4 linked regions of the Sus scrofa genome follow. The protein of the gene in region 2 purifies or fractionates together with the protein of the main gene of each other region. This does not show direct contact. Links are inferred from orthologs where the notes say so. Each region holds a gene or a part of one and is shown on either strand. Other genes may lie near its edges.

The links. The genes of interacting proteins can lie anywhere in the genome.
Region 1: the proteins of KPNA2 (region 2) and CHD8 purify together in Homo sapiens (affinity purification with mass spectrometry; 4 studies listed by BioGRID and IntAct, with this or other methods). This does not show direct contact. The link is inferred for Sus scrofa from reciprocal best matches to the Homo sapiens genes KPNA2 and CHD8.
Region 3: the proteins of KPNA2 (region 2) and PHF10 purify together in Homo sapiens (co-immunoprecipitation; 3 studies listed by BioGRID and IntAct, with this or other methods). This does not show direct contact. The link is inferred for Sus scrofa from reciprocal best matches to the Homo sapiens genes KPNA2 and PHF10.
Region 4: the proteins of KPNA2 (region 2) and CHD4 purify together in Homo sapiens (affinity purification with mass spectrometry; 3 studies listed by BioGRID and IntAct, with this or other methods). This does not show direct contact. The link is inferred for Sus scrofa from reciprocal best matches to the Homo sapiens genes KPNA2 and CHD4.

Annotation. Positions count from the first base shown.
Region 1 is NC_010449.5:77,718,087-77,722,282, reverse strand, and holds the start of CHD8 (chromodomain-helicase-DNA-binding protein 8), read right to left. Parts: upstream 2,808-4,196; 5' UTR 2,695-2,807; exon of another isoform or gene 2,649-2,694; intron 1-2,648. UniProt on the Homo sapiens protein: ATP-dependent chromatin-remodeling factor, it slides nucleosomes along DNA; nucleosome sliding requires ATP. Acts as a transcription repressor by remodeling chromatin structure and recruiting histone H1 to target genes.
Region 2 is NC_010454.4:14,289,557-14,293,115, reverse strand, and holds part of KPNA2 (importin subunit alpha-1), read right to left. Parts: intron 3,156-3,559; coding exon 3,067-3,155; intron 1,996-3,066; coding exon 1,727-1,995; intron 1,490-1,726; coding exon 1,395-1,489; intron 1,297-1,394; coding exon 1,033-1,296; intron 850-1,032; coding exon 616-849; intron 396-615; coding exon 213-395; intron 1-212.
Region 3 is NC_010443.5:555,514-559,704, forward strand, and holds the start of PHF10 (PHD finger protein 10), read left to right. Parts: upstream 1-1,384; 5' UTR 1,385-1,413; coding exon 1,414-1,500; intron 1,501-1,551; exon of another isoform or gene 1,552-1,925; intron 1,926-4,191. UniProt on the Homo sapiens protein: Involved in transcription activity regulation by chromatin remodeling. Belongs to the neural progenitors-specific chromatin remodeling complex (npBAF complex) and is required for the proliferation of neural progenitors.
Region 4 is NC_010447.5:64,070,196-64,074,433, forward strand, and holds the start of CHD4 (chromodomain-helicase-DNA-binding protein 4), read left to right. Parts: upstream 1-1,431; 5' UTR 1,432-1,669; intron 1,670-2,074; exon of another isoform or gene 2,075-2,376; intron 2,377-2,518; 5' UTR 2,519-2,596; coding exon 2,597-2,696; intron 2,697-4,238. UniProt on the Homo sapiens protein: ATP-dependent chromatin-remodeling factor that binds and distorts nucleosomal DNA. Acts as a component of the histone deacetylase NuRD complex which participates in the remodeling of chromatin.

The DNA of each region.
Region 1 (4,196 bases), on a different chromosome or scaffold from region 2:
AGGTATACACACAAAATAAAATGGGTCAGGGGGAGGTTATTCAGGATAAAATTTAGAACGTAATAAATGGTTAAATTAACCTTTAGGCAATAATAAGTGGTTCATACTGCAGCTTTCTTATACAGATAAACAACTGTTACCTGGGTACTAGGTACCCAAGAAACCACAGCTTGAAAATTAGGTCTTTCTGCATTCTTAAGTGGCTTCAACAAGACAGATGCAAAAAAGCACAATGTAAGTTAAAACTAAAGGCAACATGAACAAAATCATAACAGGAAGATAAAGGGAAGACCACTGACTGTGAGAAAAAGAATAACTAACTAACTAAAGGAACATATAACATGATAGTATACCAATGGATCAAATGCTAAAAGTAAAACAGTAAATACTAAGTTGGTCACAGTAGTGCAAGGATAGGTCCAGCAAAGACCTGCACATCAGGGACTTGCTCAGATGCAACTCCAGAAGTGGAGTGACTTTTAGGGGTTGAGAGTAGAGGGTTCAGAAAAATATGTGTCATCCTTTGGGTATTAGGCTCAGCGTAAGCTCAGAGCATAGCTTAAGCCTTTCAGGACTGTGGACAAATATCTTCAAAGCGTTTAGCATTCAGCTGGCTGCTATGAAAATGTTACAGTCCTTCCACAGATGAGAATATCAAATTCCATTCTTTCAGTAAGCAAGCACAGTACCTGGCACTCACAAATTAATCTTAAGTGGTAGCTTTGCCCCCCTCGAATGGCATCCTTTTCTAAGGACACGTGTGCAATGGTTTCTTTTAAAGATTGAACCCCTTCACCACCCTACCTTACCTATCAGAAACTTGACCCTACACATGAAACGGCAAATTTTCCTGTTACAAACCAAACTACAGTGGTGGTTACCACAATGCCAAGATTCTGCTACCCATGACCCAATGGGTGCGGCAGAGAAGGCTGTCCTGGGAAATTTGTGTTTTATGGTGGTTCACAACCAGATCAGATCAGCTCAGCAGATTTCTATTTCTATCATTTTCTATCCGTGTCTAAATCAATTTTGTCAATTTGGGAAACGACACACTCAAAAGGCCAAATGCACAGGACAGATCAAATATGGGAAAGGCAAGAACGCTGCGAGTCCCCAAGCATTGCTCCATCATCTCTTATCCCAATCCATTACTCCTTTGCTACTTCAGTTTTAAACCTCCCCCCATGCCTACCTCTCCCATACACAGTTACCCTCTCTTTGGCCAATGTCCTTCATCTTGCCTTGAAGACCCACCAGCATACCATTCTTGTGACTGGTCTTCCTAAATGGAAAATGTTGTTTTTCCTTTCTATAGCTCTTCTTTTCTTTTAAGGGGTGGGATAATCCAAAATACTTGGAATGAGAAGCTTCCCACATTTTGGCCCTAAGAGGTTGACCACAGTTTGTTCTGAAATTTATTTGGTGACTAATACAAAAGAAATTCCTAAGCAGAAGACATTACCTAATTAACTAACATTATTCAAATCACAAACTCACCTTCTAGTACCCCACACCAGATAGGACCTCATCAGATGTTACAGATACCCTTGTCAGAGAATCCCCAATTGAACAAGATGAAGAGGTTTAGAACAAGATGAAGAGTAAACAGTCTGTGGATGCTAGTGTGATGGTAGGATGCAGCAGACACAGACAATGCAGAAAATGCAGGACCTTTGGTGTTTGGGGCGTTCCACCATGTCTATTCTTTAAGAGAAAAAGACACGGAGTGCCATGTCTTCGACTTCTGGCTCACTATGCTCAGTCACTGAGCGTAAAGAGTCAAAAGAGATTGGTCCACTAAATATCAACACACCACTATTCACCTCGTCCTTAAAGGCCTTAATCATTTCGGGACTGCTCCTTAAAAGGTAGGAACTGCTACATGTGCACAGCTGCTGCAATGGCAGGGAAATTTCCTGCGACAGAGGAGACGGAAAATAAAAAATTGCATTCACTCCGAGGCAGGGGGAGGTATCTCCTGCTAGTGAAGAGTTTACATAATGCAACAGAAAAACCACTGAGCTCTGCAGACCTGTCAATGGAGATGCAAGGCTTGAGTTCCTCTCTCTTCCCCATCTCTAAACACTGTCCAAGAGCCTGCTCTGATCTCCCAAAGATCCACAGAAATTACATCTAATAACGTAAACCAATCTGCCCACGTTCACCCCATGCTTTCCTATCCACCTTTATTACTAAAAGGCAAAAAACAAGCAGAAAAAAAAAAAAAAAGGAAAAAACCCTAACCTCCCACTTCTGAGCCCAAAGTATGGAGTAACCAAAAGGAGCCGGGGAGTTTTCCCTCCACGGAAGGAGCAAGGAGAACAAGGAGCTGTCTCAAATCTACACGAAGCTCAATAATGCAATGACAAGCCTTGAAAACTCCACAGGGCTCAGAGCAGCCGGGTTCGCGGCTCGGCCCGGCTCGGGCCCCGGGCCTGGCAGCCGCCCTCTCCCCCAGCCTCTCACAAAGGAGAATGGTTCAGTCCAGAGCATCACCCAGCACCTGATTCCTCACAACTGGGGGACGGGCAGGGGGCGGGGGGAGCGAGGAGGAGGATGAGTTATGGAAACCAATTCTAAGAGCCTCAGCGTTTGCAAAGACTCTTGGACCAGCACTAAGCGGCGGGCGTGAGCGGAAAGCCTACCTGAACAAGTCCTGGTACCTCCTTTCCAGCCAGCGTTTCAACTCACCCTTTCTGAGAACAAGGCGCCTTCCGGCGGAGCATGGTCAGCCCTCGCTTCAATCTAGCTTGCTAGTAGTCCATTCTCCCTTGGGCCCGCCCACCTACGCTCCCATCCACCAATGGCAGGGCCGACGGCCGGCCTCCTCCAGCAGGGTAGAGTGAGTGCCATCCAGGAAGTCTCTTGGGGTGGGAGGTCCTAAAAGGCTGAGGCAACCGCAGATATGCCTGATTGAAAATAAAATCTGGCGGTAGCTTGCTTCTGACGGGTCAGTTCTGTGGCGTTGAGATCTCTCGGCTTCTTTTCTTGACCCCCGGCGTTGGGGGCGCTCTAAACTAAAATAACATTTAGTTACCTGGCTCTAGGAAGCCATCTTGGATCCGGCTGGTGCTTTGGGGCCGGGAGGAAGAAGGCGTGCTTAAGGAATTTGAAGTCTCTGTTCTAATAGTTCTATCGGACTATTTAGATACAACCCCAATGTACACTCCTTTGTATAATCGGAGTACCCCTTAGTCACGATGGGGAGAAAGCCTGGAATAATGCTGAATGTGCCCGGAAGCAACCCCCACCCCCCCACCCCCGTCATACAAGTGAAAGATCCTAACCAAATCTAGCCACCTTAACCAAATCAAAGAAGCAAAAATGAATTCTTGGAATGAGTGGATTTTCCGAGTTCCTGGGATAATCCTTTAGAGACACCTTACTCCTCAGTATATCCACTTAAGACCAACATAGGTGATGCATCTATTCTAGATGCTTCTAATCCTTATGTTTCTCTTGCAAGTTGTCCAGTGCTCTGACTTTGTCAGTACAGAGTACCGCTAGTCCATGGAAGATGTACAGAATTTAGGGAAGAATTTTAACTTTTTAAAAAAAAACTCAGTTCATCAATACACACAAACTACCCATGAATATAGACAGAGCAAATGATAGAAGTCTTAGAGGTGAAATTATATGCAAGAGGAGGCGTGTTAGGAGTTAGCCTTAGAAACATTGGCTTCAGAAAGTAATTTCCTAAAAACTGCGTTTAAATTGAAAAGGAAATAATTTTATTGTAGGTGAAATTCTCTTGCCTTCAATAAGATTCTCCTGTGTTTTCTAGTCTAAATCTCTACTGGTATTGCAACTAGCTACAAGAACTTTTTGTTTTGTTTTGTTTTTGTCCTTTCTTTTTTTAGGGCCACATCCGCAGCATATGGAGGCTCCCCAGGCTAGGGGTGGAATTGGAGCTGTTGCCACTGTCCTACTCCACAGCCACAGCAATGTGGGATTTAAGCAGCCTCTGTGACATACACCACAGTTCATAGCAAGGTGGGATCCTAACCCACCCTGGGGGGCTGGGGATTTTACCTGCATTCTCATGGATGCTAGTCAGACTCGTTACCCCTAACCAGACAGGAATTCCAGCTTTTCTTTTTTGAATTCTCGAAGGGAGTCTTTCCAAATTACTAAAGGAATTTCTCAAGGAGTAACATTTGCATGGTCACACGTGGCAGAAGCTCAGACACCTT
Region 2 (3,559 bases):
AGCTGTGATGGAGGCTGGCAGCTACAGCTCCAATTCGACCCCTAGCCTAAGAACCTCCATATGCCACCGGTGCGGCCCTAAAAAAAGACCAAAAAACAAAAAAAACCCACCAAACCTCTAGTGTCATCACTTTTGAGGCTAAGCTTTGATCCCTGACCTGTGAATTTCTGCATGCCAAGGGTGTGGCCAAAAAAAAAAAAAAGGCAACTTACCTGAAAGATATTAGAAATGGCATCCAGAATAACCAGGATAATTTTGGTATCTTTTGCAGTTAAGAGGTTCATCAATGGTTCTATTATGCCACAGTGGACAAGGTACACGATCTGTTCAACTGTTCCACCACTTGTGTAATTGGTCACAGCCCATACAGCTTCCTTTTGTGTCTTAAAGTCTGCCTAATAAACACAAGAAAACAGGTGTATTTCAGAATGGGCATAAAAATAAGATTCCAAAAGTACTCTTTTAGAAAAATAGTGACTAAAACTACCATCTGACTATTATTTAGCAAAAGACTATAAGTAGGACCTAACATTAGTACATTAAGAACCTTATGAAGTACAGTTCTACCAAGTGGCCTCTGGAAGCAATCCTTTATGAAGGCCTAAGGCTTCTTACCTTCGAGAGAACGCCAACAAGGAATGGGACCAATCCATGATTTACAACTTGCTGTATCTGGTCCTGGCGACCAGCTGTAATATTTGACATTGTCCACGTAGCCTCCTTCTGAATATTTGTTTTGGAGTTTGTTAGCAGGCTGGGAAAGACGGCGAGTGCTCCTGCATCTATGACAACCTGCGTCTGTTCATCTGTGCCAGTGACAATGTTTCCTATTGCTCTTAGTGCAGGAGTCTGGAAAGGGAAAAATGCTGATGTTGCTGGTTATCCTTCATCGTTTCTACCACTGCTCGAAGTCGCTACACCCTAAAAGTCTGGACAAGAGGCTCATTGTGGCCTAAAATAGGTAGTATGTCAATATTAGTACTGACTGATTATGCTCTTCATACTTTATTTCTCATTTGAAAATTAACTTACCACAATCGGCAGTTCAGTGGCTCCTAAAAGCTTCACAAGTTGGGGTACGACCCCTGTCTTCACAACCATTTCAATCCGTTCATTTGGACCATCGGTAAGGTAGGAAATAGCCCAGCAGGTATCTGCTAAAACTTCTGGATCATCGTGATGTAGGAGACGAACTAAAGTAGGAAGAATTTGCTCAACAGCATCTAAGGGGGGTGCAGGATTCTTGTTGCGACAAAGGTTTGAAAGTGTCCAGGTAAGATTACGTAAGTAACCACACTGGGGGAAAAGAAAAATGCAATGAAGTTCTCCATTTTTTGAGGGGGTGGGCAAAATCAGAATCAACAAGTAACTTGACTTATGGTTAAGTAACTTACTGCTAATGATGACATATCAGGAACCGCGAGAAGAGCCAACAGCGGGTCAACCGCACCGTACTTGATAACCAAGTCTCGGAAAACGGAACCATCCCCTTAAAAAAAATTTAAAAAGGCAAGGTTAATCATAACTACTTGTCTAGCACCATCAATTTCACTGACTGAGTACCAGTGTCTTGATACAAGGAAACACTCAGATAGTTCCTAAAATAAATAAATGACACTTTTACCTCTTATAAGCACTGGAAGCAAGTTCAATCCCTAACTCAAAGGCACTTCAACCAACCTCAGTATTAGAGACATTCAGTCAAAAGAACTTGAAATCCAAGTACCTGCGATGTTTCCGAGAGCCCACACAGCTTGTTCACTGATGTGAGCATGGGGAGATGCCAACAGAGAAATGAATGCTGGGATAGCACCTCCATCTACAACAGCCTTGGTCTGTTCTGATGTTCCAGAGGCAATGTTAGTGAGGGCCCAAGCAGACTCAAACTGAATGGGACTACAATCCATTCTGCCCAGGAAGGACACAAATTTTGGAATCAAACCAGCCCGGATTATGTTGTCTATGGGAGGCTGTTTTTCCCTAGAAAGCAGTTTCCTAAGGGTAAATAAAAGGAGAAACAAAAGATGAAGGTAATTAACAAAATAGGTTTGAGTGAAAAACAATTTAAAATGTAACTCAGGAGTTCAGAGCATTAGACAACCTTTTACAGTAAAGCACTAAGTGCTGAGATATCCTAAAATTTAAGAGGACCTCAACAGACTGGTTGCATGGTGCTATTATATGTGATGTCTTAAATTACCTTTTTCCCCCATACTGAAATACTACCAATAATGTAGAACCCTTCTCGATGCATCCCTGCAGAAATCTACTTTAGGTCTTGTCACTTTTAAAAAATTGACAATCTGGGAGTTCCTGTTGTGGCATAGTGGAAACGAATCCGACTAGGAATCATGAGGTTTCAGGTTCAATCCCTGGCCTCGCTCAGTAGGTTAAGGATCCAGCGTTGCCGTGAGCTGTGGTGTAGGTCGCAGATGCAGCTCAGATCCAGTGTTTCTGTGGCTCTGGTGTAGGCCGGTGGCTACAAGCCCTGATTAGACCCCTAGCCTGGGAACCTCCATATGCCACAGGTGTGGCCCTAAAAAGACCAAAAACAAAAAACAAAAAAAATCCAAAAAAAACTAACAATCTGATAGCATTACACTCTCATTTAACATTTTTCCATGATCATCTGTCAACTAGATTTGCTTTTCTGCACACTGTCAAGCCAGAGATTATTAATCCTTGCTAAAATGGATGTCAAAACTATTTGTCTACAGAGATAAGAGTCTAAAAATATACTTATTTCCTAAATGGGTGGACCAATCCCACTTACTGAATAATTCCTTCTTCCCTGACACTGACTTAAAATGCCATGTTGATAAAAACTTTGTAATTTTCTTAAATATACACCAAAAAGCTAATAATCATTATCAGTGGAGGTGCATGGAGTCTTTGGCAATTACTGAAATCTTTAAATTCTCTCAAGGGAAGATTCTAATGAAAACAGGCCTATGCATGGCTTAACTTTGACTTTACCCAAACCACCTCTTTCCCACCAAAAAAAAAAAAAAAAAAAAAAATCTAAAAATCTAAAAAGGCTATCCATGCTATAGAGACAAGGCTTACCTAGCAGCTTGAGTAGCCTGGAGCTGGCTTTCCAAATTGTTGCTATTTATGCCTTTGACAATGTCATCGACAGACCAATTTACGGTGCCCTAAGAGAACAGTGGAATTAATTTTGCAAACTATCATTTTTTTAAGATTAACTACAAACAGTAAAATCCCTACCAGCAATGTGTAAACTGTTCTAACAGCTATGAAAAGTTTAGCCTACATTTTTTTTTCTTTGGCCATACCCACATGTGGAAGTTCCTGGGCCAGGGACTGAACCCACACTGCAGTTGCCACCTGCCTCATAGCTGCAGCAATGCTGGATCCTCAAGCTGCTGCACCACAGGGGAACTTCTGAATCCTACATTTAAATCTGCCTAATTAAATGTTCATTATTTAATATGTAGAACAGTTGTCAAACTTGGTGTCATGATTCAATGAAGTCTCAAGTAATGAGAGTACCCCCAGCAAACTGTTGCTAAAAAAAAAAGTGGCTGTGAACAATTAA
Region 3 (4,191 bases), on a different chromosome or scaffold from region 2:
AGCAGCTCTCGCATCTCTGGTGGGAGCTGCTGCATCAGCTACATTCCAACAGTCGTACTGTGAACCTGCACATTTTATGGTTGCAGCACGTACAGAGGTGGAAGTGGGTAAAATCTGCAAATGCAAGCAAGCTGAGGATGTTTTTGGAAAGTACAGTTTCCACGGCAGGTGGAGTCCAAGAGACCTCAAGGCTGCGAGCAGAGAACAAAGGCGGATAACGGGCAGCCACGGGAGCCGGGAACTCAGGACAAGCCAGGTCCCTCCACATCCCACCAAGACTAGCCCGCGGGCGAGGAGAAGGGAAGGGAGGGGAGGGGACCCCGGGCGGGCGGGAGGGGCAAGGGGCGGGGACCCCCAGAAGAGGAGGAGGGGGCGGGCGGCGGAGACCCCTGGGACGGAGGGGGCGGGGACATCCTCGAGGGACGGAGGGAGAAGGGACCCTCGGCCTGGAGAGCGGGGGGAGGGGAGGGAGGGGCAAGAGAGGTGGGGACCCCCGGGAACGCCAGGAGGGGGCGGGGCGGCGGGGAACCCTGGGTCGGAGTGGGGGGGATCATCTGGGAGGGACGGCTGGGAGGGCGGGAGAAGGGGCCCTCCGGATGGAGGGCGAGCGGAGGGGAGGGGACCCCTGGGAGGGAGGGGTTAGGAGGTGGGGACCCCCGGGAAGGCGAGGGGGCGGGGCCACCGGGAGGAGGGACCGCGGGAGGCGGCGGGAGGAGGGCCCCTCGGGGCTTAGGGGCAGGGGGCGGGGCCCCTTGGGAGGCGGGGCGGGGCGGGGGCGGGGCGGCGGGGACCCCCTGGCCGGAGGGGGCGGGGGCCCCCGGGAGGGAGGCGGCGGGGGCGGGGACCCTCGGCTGGAGGGCGAGGGGCGGGGCGCGGCGGGGCGGGGAGCCCCGGTGGGAGGAGAGGGCTGACGTGCGAGGGGCCGGGCCGGGCCGGGGGGCGGCGGGCCGGGGCGGGGCTGGGGGCTGAGGCAGCGGCGGGAGGTGGGGCCGCGGAGCGCGCCGGGCTGCGGCGGCCGGGAGGCGGGGAGACGGGCGCGGGCCGCGCGGGGCCGAGGGGAGCGGCCCGGGGCCGGCGGGCGCGGCGGCGGCGGCGGTGGCCGAGGGCCCGGCGGGCGCGCACGGCGGCGGGCGCGGCGGGCGCGGCGGCGGCGGCGGCGGCAGGGCGGCGGGCTCGGCGGCGGCGGCGGCGGCGGGCGGCGCGCTGGCGGCGGCCATGGCGGTGGCGGCGGCGCTGGCGGGCCGCGGGGCGCGCGGAGGCAGGGGCCGGCCCCCGGGCGGCGGGCGGGCGGAGGGGGCGGGGCCCGGGCGGCGGGCGGCCCGCGCGGCGGCGGCGGCGGCGGCGGCAGCGGCGGCGGCGGCCGGGACGAGGCGGCGGCGGCGGCGGCGGCGGCGGCGCGGGGCGCTCGGGCTGATGGCGGCGGCGGGCGGCCCCGGGTCGGCGCTGTCCCCGCGGCCGTGCGACAGCGACCCGGCCACGCCCGGAGCGCAGTCCCCGAAGGTGAGGAGCGGGCCGGGCCGGGCCGGGCCGGGGGTGGCGGGCGGGGAGGGGCCTGCGGGCGGCGGGCTGGTGCGTCCGGGCCGCCTGTCCCGGCGCCGCGGCCCAGCCCCGCGCGGCGCCCCGTCCTTTTGGCGGTTTCCGCGCCGGTTCCCGGGGCCGTCGTCCTCGCCGTGGAATCAAACTTTCCTCCCGGGCGGAAACACTTTCCTCGGCGGCGGCGGCGGCGGCGGCCTGGGGCGCCGTGTGCGTTTGGGAGAGTAGCTCGGGAGGAGTTGAGTCCTTGGGCGAAACAGACGCGGAAAGCACTGCAAACACGCTGTCCCGGTGGCGGACTCAGCTGGGGGCCGCGGCCGTGCTCCGCGGCGCTGAAATCCCCAGGCAGACTCGGAGTTTCGTGGCTCGTACTGTGGGGACGTGTTTGTAAGGTCAGAGTTGTGCAGAAAATCGAGATGAGCGTGAAAACCTCTTGTTTTGAAGTGAGTGTACGGGTTCGTGACAGGGGAGCGGAGCGTGCCCTGTTACTGAAGCTGGACGGGGGGCCGGGGGCCCTGCAGACGGCCCTGCGCGAAGCCTGGCTCCCGGCCTTGGCCGCTGCCCGGGCTCAAGACCCCACCTGTGCGAGCGGCTGGCCCCGGGCCCACACCGTCGGCTTCCACAGTGCAGGGCTCGCCCTGCCCAGCTCGAGGGGTCTGTCCCAAGAGCATTTCATCTGAAGGTGGTAGCCACCTGTGACTCAGATGCAAGTAGCTGGCCATCTTAACACCCGGGTTTCTGTGTCAGCATCGAGGGTGCAAGCACTTCTCTCTTGGTTGCCATCATGTTATGGGAATGTGTTGCAGTGATGGCTCTCTAATGTCCACTTTGTGTATAATCCATTTGCCTAGGACTTGTAATAGCCAACTCAAACACTACATGTGAAATTGTGGTTTCAACTTTTTTGAGGACTTTGCATTTTTAACTTTTTTTTTTTTTTTAAAGGGCCACATGTGCAGCATATGGAAGTTCCCAGGCTAGAGATGAACTCGGCCTATGCCACCCACATTCACTGCAACGCCAGATCCCACGGAGCCCAGTCTGCGACACACACAGCAGCTTGGAGCCATGCTGGATCCTTGAGCCCCACTAAGCAAGGCCAGGGATTGAAACTGCATCCTCATGGATGGTAGTCGGGTTCGTTGCCACTGAGCCACAACAGGAACTCCGCATTTTTAACTTTTTGTCTCTTTTTTGGTATCTTAAATTTTTTAGCCAAGGGAAATATACTTAAACAAATTGACGTAAAAGTCCTTAAAGTGCTAAGAAGCAAGTGAGATAGATAGGAAATGATACTTGAATGCTTATCGAATATGAAACCTATCAATTGGGAGACTTACTGTTAATTGTACGTTTTTGGAGGATAGATTTAGACTCTTCATCTCCTACCTGGTTGCTCTCTCTCAGTAGGAGTGTAAAGAGCTCTTTAACTGAGTGCTCACTTGCTAAGAACTGAAGAGGAGACTCACGGTTTTTGCTCTTTGGTAAAGAGTCTGAGTAAATTCCTAACAGGTGGAGCCATGTGAGATGTGACACTGTCGTCATGGTCGTAGTGACTGACTTGTATTGGGCACTTAGTTGTTTGCTAGGCTTTGCTCTGAGTGCTTCCCATGTAGTCGCTCTTTTAATTCCTGCCTGAGCCAAGGCCTGGGGCACTGCCCCATCTAGGTTTTGCAGATGAGGGTGGCTCCCAGAGGACAACCACTCAGCCCCCAAAGCCAGTGCCCAGTGGGATTCCAGGCCGCCCAGCTTTCTGTGCTCGACGAACTGCATACTCATTGCCTCTGCCTTCTTAGAACCATGGGTTTAACAAAATTGATTTTTTAAAAACCCATTTTAGTCCTGGAATCTTGTTTTTTTTTTTTTTTTTTTTTTTTTTTGGCCAAGCCTGTGCTGCGGTGACAGCGCCTATGCCCTGAAGGCGCTCCCTCAGTCTGCTCTTTTTAAGCCTTATGCTGTTAATTCTTAGCTAATATATGATTAAATCGACTTCCTAACCTTTGTTGCCTCATTCATTTCCCTAATGAAGCGGTCTGACGGCCTTGATACGGTCAGGTAATGGAAAACATCACTTAAAAAAAAATATATATGTCTTTTTGCTATTTCTTTGGGCCGCTCCAGTGGCATATGGAGGTTCCCAGGCTAGGGGTCAAACTGGAGCCACAGCCACCGGCCTGCGCCACAGCCACAGCAACGCGGGATCCGAGCCGCGTCTGCAACCTACACCACAGCTCACGGCAACGCCGGATCCTTAACCCACTGAGCAAGGGCAGGGATCGAACCCGCAACCTCATGGTTCCTAGTCAGATTCGTTAACCACTGCGCCACGACGGGAACTCCACTTAAAAATATTTTAAGCCTCTTTTTTGGGGAGGTAGTGTGTGTTATTTTACGTGTGTATATATATATATATATATTTTTTTTTTTTTTTTTTTTTGCTAAATTTTTGTAGTGTAAGAAAAATTATCAGGATTGGTAATCTTTTTTTAGTCCTGTGTGTCTTCTTCAAAGATCAAGGATTTAAAAGATAGCCAGTAAACCAGGTATGAGTTGAGTTGAACACTAAATAATCCATACATTTTTATCCTTGCTGGCTAGGAGGGTTTGCTTTCATTTCAGAGGACTGCAGCAGTCTTACGTGTGTTATTAAAGCAAAAG
Region 4 (4,238 bases), on a different chromosome or scaffold from region 2:
GGATGAGAATGGACCACTTGACCTGAGGAGGTGGTGTGGGAAGGGGACTGCTGGAATGTTGAGAAATAGTCTTTAGGTGGGCATTTGTAATTATTATGGGATGCTCTGAGGTGAACTGAACTTTATGTGAATGGCTCATCTGACCAGCTTGGTATTTGGTGGGTCTTACTCAAAATTTAACTGGAGGTAAGTGTTGCTAAGTGTCTGGAGAACATCTGGATTTTGGTGGGATTGGGTGGGGCTCAGTCCAGTTCCTGCATGTCTGAAAATGATGGATGAGGAAAGCTAGAGTCTGTCCTAGACATCAAGAGACTTTGTGCCAGGATACTGCTTTGGGCCATTAAGGGCTGAAGGTGTGTACAAGTTGGGGCGGGGACAGGGCAATGTGGATAGCCTGCTTCACCCTTGCTGGTGTGGGAGTTAGGGTTTTAGACTGACAGCCTCTGGAGATGGGGGAGGGATGAGTATAAATATTATGGGATGCCTGACTGGAAAGGTATAGGGGTGGTAGAGATGAGCATTATGGGACCTGACTCTGGGTTGTGTTGGGAGTATTATTGTATGTTTGCTTGACCACAGGTTCTTTGTCATTATTATGGGATGTCAGGGTGTGGGTGGGGGAGTAAAATTATGGGATATCTTTCCAGTGCTAGAGGAAAGGAGTTTGGATGTCCATCTGTGAGGTGACTGTAGGGCTGTTGATCATTATGGATATCTCTGATAGAGGAGGAGTGGTTATTATGGGCTGTGGAGTGGGAATGAACGTCTGAAGCCTTGGGGTCGAGTTTTGAGGTTCTAGCCCACAGGGGCTGAGGGCAGCTCCCCAGGGGGTTGGTTATTATGGGATGTCAGTACAGAAAGTGGGAGACTGATTACTACGGGATGTGTGTGGGAAGTGGGAAGAGGCCGAAGTGTCCGTTGTTGGGGGGGGGTGAGTTTCTGACTATTATGGGATATCAAACTGGGGGTGGATGAAGAGTGGTTATTATGGGATGTCTGTGGGGGATGGGGATGAGTATTATGGGATGTGAGCATGAAGAGCGGGTAGGGGTGCTTATTATGGGATGGCCATGGGGAGGGAGAGGTGACGAATTATTATGGGATGTTAGCATTAGGGCCAAGAGTGAAGAAGTTGGCAAAGGATGGCTATTATGGGATGTCTAGGGGAGGGGTAAAGTGTTAGTTGCAAAAGGTCTGCAATATCATGAGATGTCAACATCCCTGGCATATATGTATATGTGTATGGAGTGCGTGCGCGTGGGGGGGTGATGGTTGTGGTGGTGGTGGTGGTACGGTGGTGGTGGTGGTGGTGGTGTCCGTGTGTATTATGGGATGGCCAGGAGGTGGGTGGTTGCCCGGGTGACACGCGCGCGCGCGCTCGAAGGGGGCGTGGCCAGTGGTTGCTGAGCGACGAGGGGGCGGGGGTTGCCCGGGAGACCTAGGGAGGAGGGTGGCGGTAGTGGAGGGGGGGTTGGAGTTGGTTGAGGTTATTATGGGCTGTCCGTGGGGGGGCGGGGCCTGTGCGGTGGGATTTCCCGGCCGGTGTTTCGGGCCCTTTAAGAGGCGACGCTGGAGCCGGAGCCATTTTCCCCCCTTCGGCCGCGGCGAGGAGGAGCCGGAGCGGGAGTGACACCCGGCCGGACCCTGCGCGACCTGCGGCGGCTCCGGGGTGAGGAGAGCGCGGGGTTCCCAGACAGAAGCCCCTCTCATCCCGACCGGCCCCGAGGGTCATCCCTCCACCCAGCCTCTCTTCGGGCGTCCCCGGACCCGCAGACCGCCCCCTGCCCGGGAAGCCGACCCTGCCTCTCCTTCCCCTGCAGGGCGCCCAGCCCCCGCCCTCGCCCTGCCCGACTCTAGCTCTCCGCGACTCCCACCTCGGGCTTTGCCTCCCACAATGCCCGGCGCCCCCCTCGCCCTTTGCTCACTTGCCCCCCGGGACACGTGGCCCGGCCCCCCGCCTGGTGGGAGCCCCGGCCCCCCACGCCCCTGCCTCCAGCCCCCCGGAGCGCCGAGCCTCCACGCCCCCTCGTCCCCGCGGCTTCTCCGGAGAACCCGAGTTGTCCCAGAGGACAGCCTTTGGAGAGCTGCCCTGTCTGGGGACTGGCCCCTCCCCAGGCGCAGGGAGTCGCCCCCCCACCCCCAAGTGACCTTGTGTCCCCAAGCGCCTCGCCGCCGGCCGCCTCCCCCGATCCTCCCCCCACCCCCCCCGCGCCGCGGCCACTCGGACCCCCTCCCCCGACACGCCCGGCTCAGTTCAGCGGCTTCTCCCCTCCCTACGCCGGCACCGGCTTGCCCTCGGGGGCGCCGCTTCCTCCGGTCTGGGGGGCTCCAGCCCGGGAGCCGGCTTCCGGGCTGCCCCTGGGAGTGTGGAACTAAGTTCAGCCTGAGTGGTTCGGGTGCCCTGCTCGGGTGGCTGAGGGGTGGGGGGGCCGGGGGTGGGCGGAAAGCGCGGCGGGGTGGGGGAGGGGGCCGTGCGCGTCACTGACTGTTCTCTTTCTCTCCCCCCTCCCCCGCACAGTGACTCGGGCCAGTGTCGAGGGCCCCAGGCCGCAGGCAGGAGCAGCTGGGCCAATTCCCTGGCCGGGAGCGGAAGGGGATGGCGTCGGGCCTGGGCTCCCCGTCCCCCTGCTCAGCGGGCAGTGAGGAGGAGGATATGGATGCACTTTTGAACAACAGCCTGCCCCCACCCCACCCAGGTAACATCTTCCCCAAGGGCCCCGGGCAGGAAGGAGCCATCTGGGCCCTCCCTAGTGGCTCCGTGAGGCAGGGTTGAGTTTCTGGGCTTGCTCTGTGCAGTGAGAGGTGGAGGGCATCCGAAGGGAGTGGTTCTCTTCTGCGGAGCTCTTGTGCGAGGGGGTTGGAAGCCATGTGCCTCCCGGGCTGCGCGGACCGAGATGCAAGCTTGCTGCACTGCCTTCGGGAATTGCTCTGCAGTTCCCGGTTGAGGGAGCTCTCTGGGCTGGCAGGCTTTGTGGGTCCTTGGAGGAATGCAGGTGGCTGGGACCCCTGGAGGCTGTGCAGTGGGGAAGGGGCTGGGTTGAGGATCGCTTTTGGAGGAGACCAGCCGGGCATCTCTGCCGGTAGGATCCTGTGATTGCTGCTGTGGAAAAGAAAGAGGGAGTGCTGGTTACTCTCTGATTATTTTTAGCTTCTGATCAGTTACCGGCTTTCTGTGCTGTTTCAACTGTGTGAAGTTTGAATTGCGCTCCGAAGCTGGAATCTAGAGTGCTCTTAGCCAGGCAGATTGCTGGAATGTTTTGAGTGGGGCTAGGAGTGGGATGTAGTAGCCTGCAGGGTATACTCCAAGGGACAGAAAGAAGAGAGATGACACTCTGGGCACCTCTCTTCCTCGGGCAAGTGGACTTAATCCTGGCTTTTTTCTCTAGACGGTTCTGCCCTGTGCAGGTAGCCTGGGGTTTGGACTGGTGGTGTGAGGTGTTTGTGTAGGTGTGTTGGGGGTTGTGTTGTCTGTGTTTTGGGGTGGGTCCTTGCACTGGCCAAACCCGAATGGTTATGCATCCTGCCTGGTTGGAATGGCTCTTGTTTGTCCTCAAGTGATGATTGGTGTTATGTGTCTAAGTGAATGTCTCTCTTCTCTGTCTGTCTTCAGATCCCTTAGCTAAGTCACCTCCTTGTTTCCTTGACCTTTTTTTCGTAGCTTTGTTTTTTTCTACGTGCTGTTTCTTCATCTTTTCTGTTTGTGGTTTTATTTTAATTCTGGAGCTTGCTAGTCCTGTATTTGTTTCCCATCAAATGTTTTTCACTTTTGCCTTCTCTCTCCATAGTTCCAACTGCAAGTTGAGGTGGTCTGGGAGAGATGTTTCTACTTTGGCACTTTCTAAGTTGGAAGTCTTCGCTTCAATCCGAGGCCATTTAGGAGAGGGTCAGTCTTGTCATTGAGTCTTCAGCTGTGGGGATGAGAAACTTAGGCTTGAGTCTCATCACTGTGTAGGGCGAGGTGGCAGATTTCTGTGCTGTGGCCCAAGGTGGGGTGGAGAATGGCGGTAGTGGTGAGGTGGTTCCATCCTGGCTTTGAGGGGCATGAGGAGTAGCCGGGCCGTCCAGCCAGCGTTGGTTCCACATCTTGGTTTCCCATTGGCCCCTTGGTCTGGGGCTGCCCCTGTGTTGATTGGGAGCTGTGCAGGCTCCCACGGTGAACTCTGCCCCAAGCTGTAGCGTGACCCAGTTTTTCCACTTGCCACACCTCATTCCTGCCCCTTTCCCAAATCTTCCCCTGT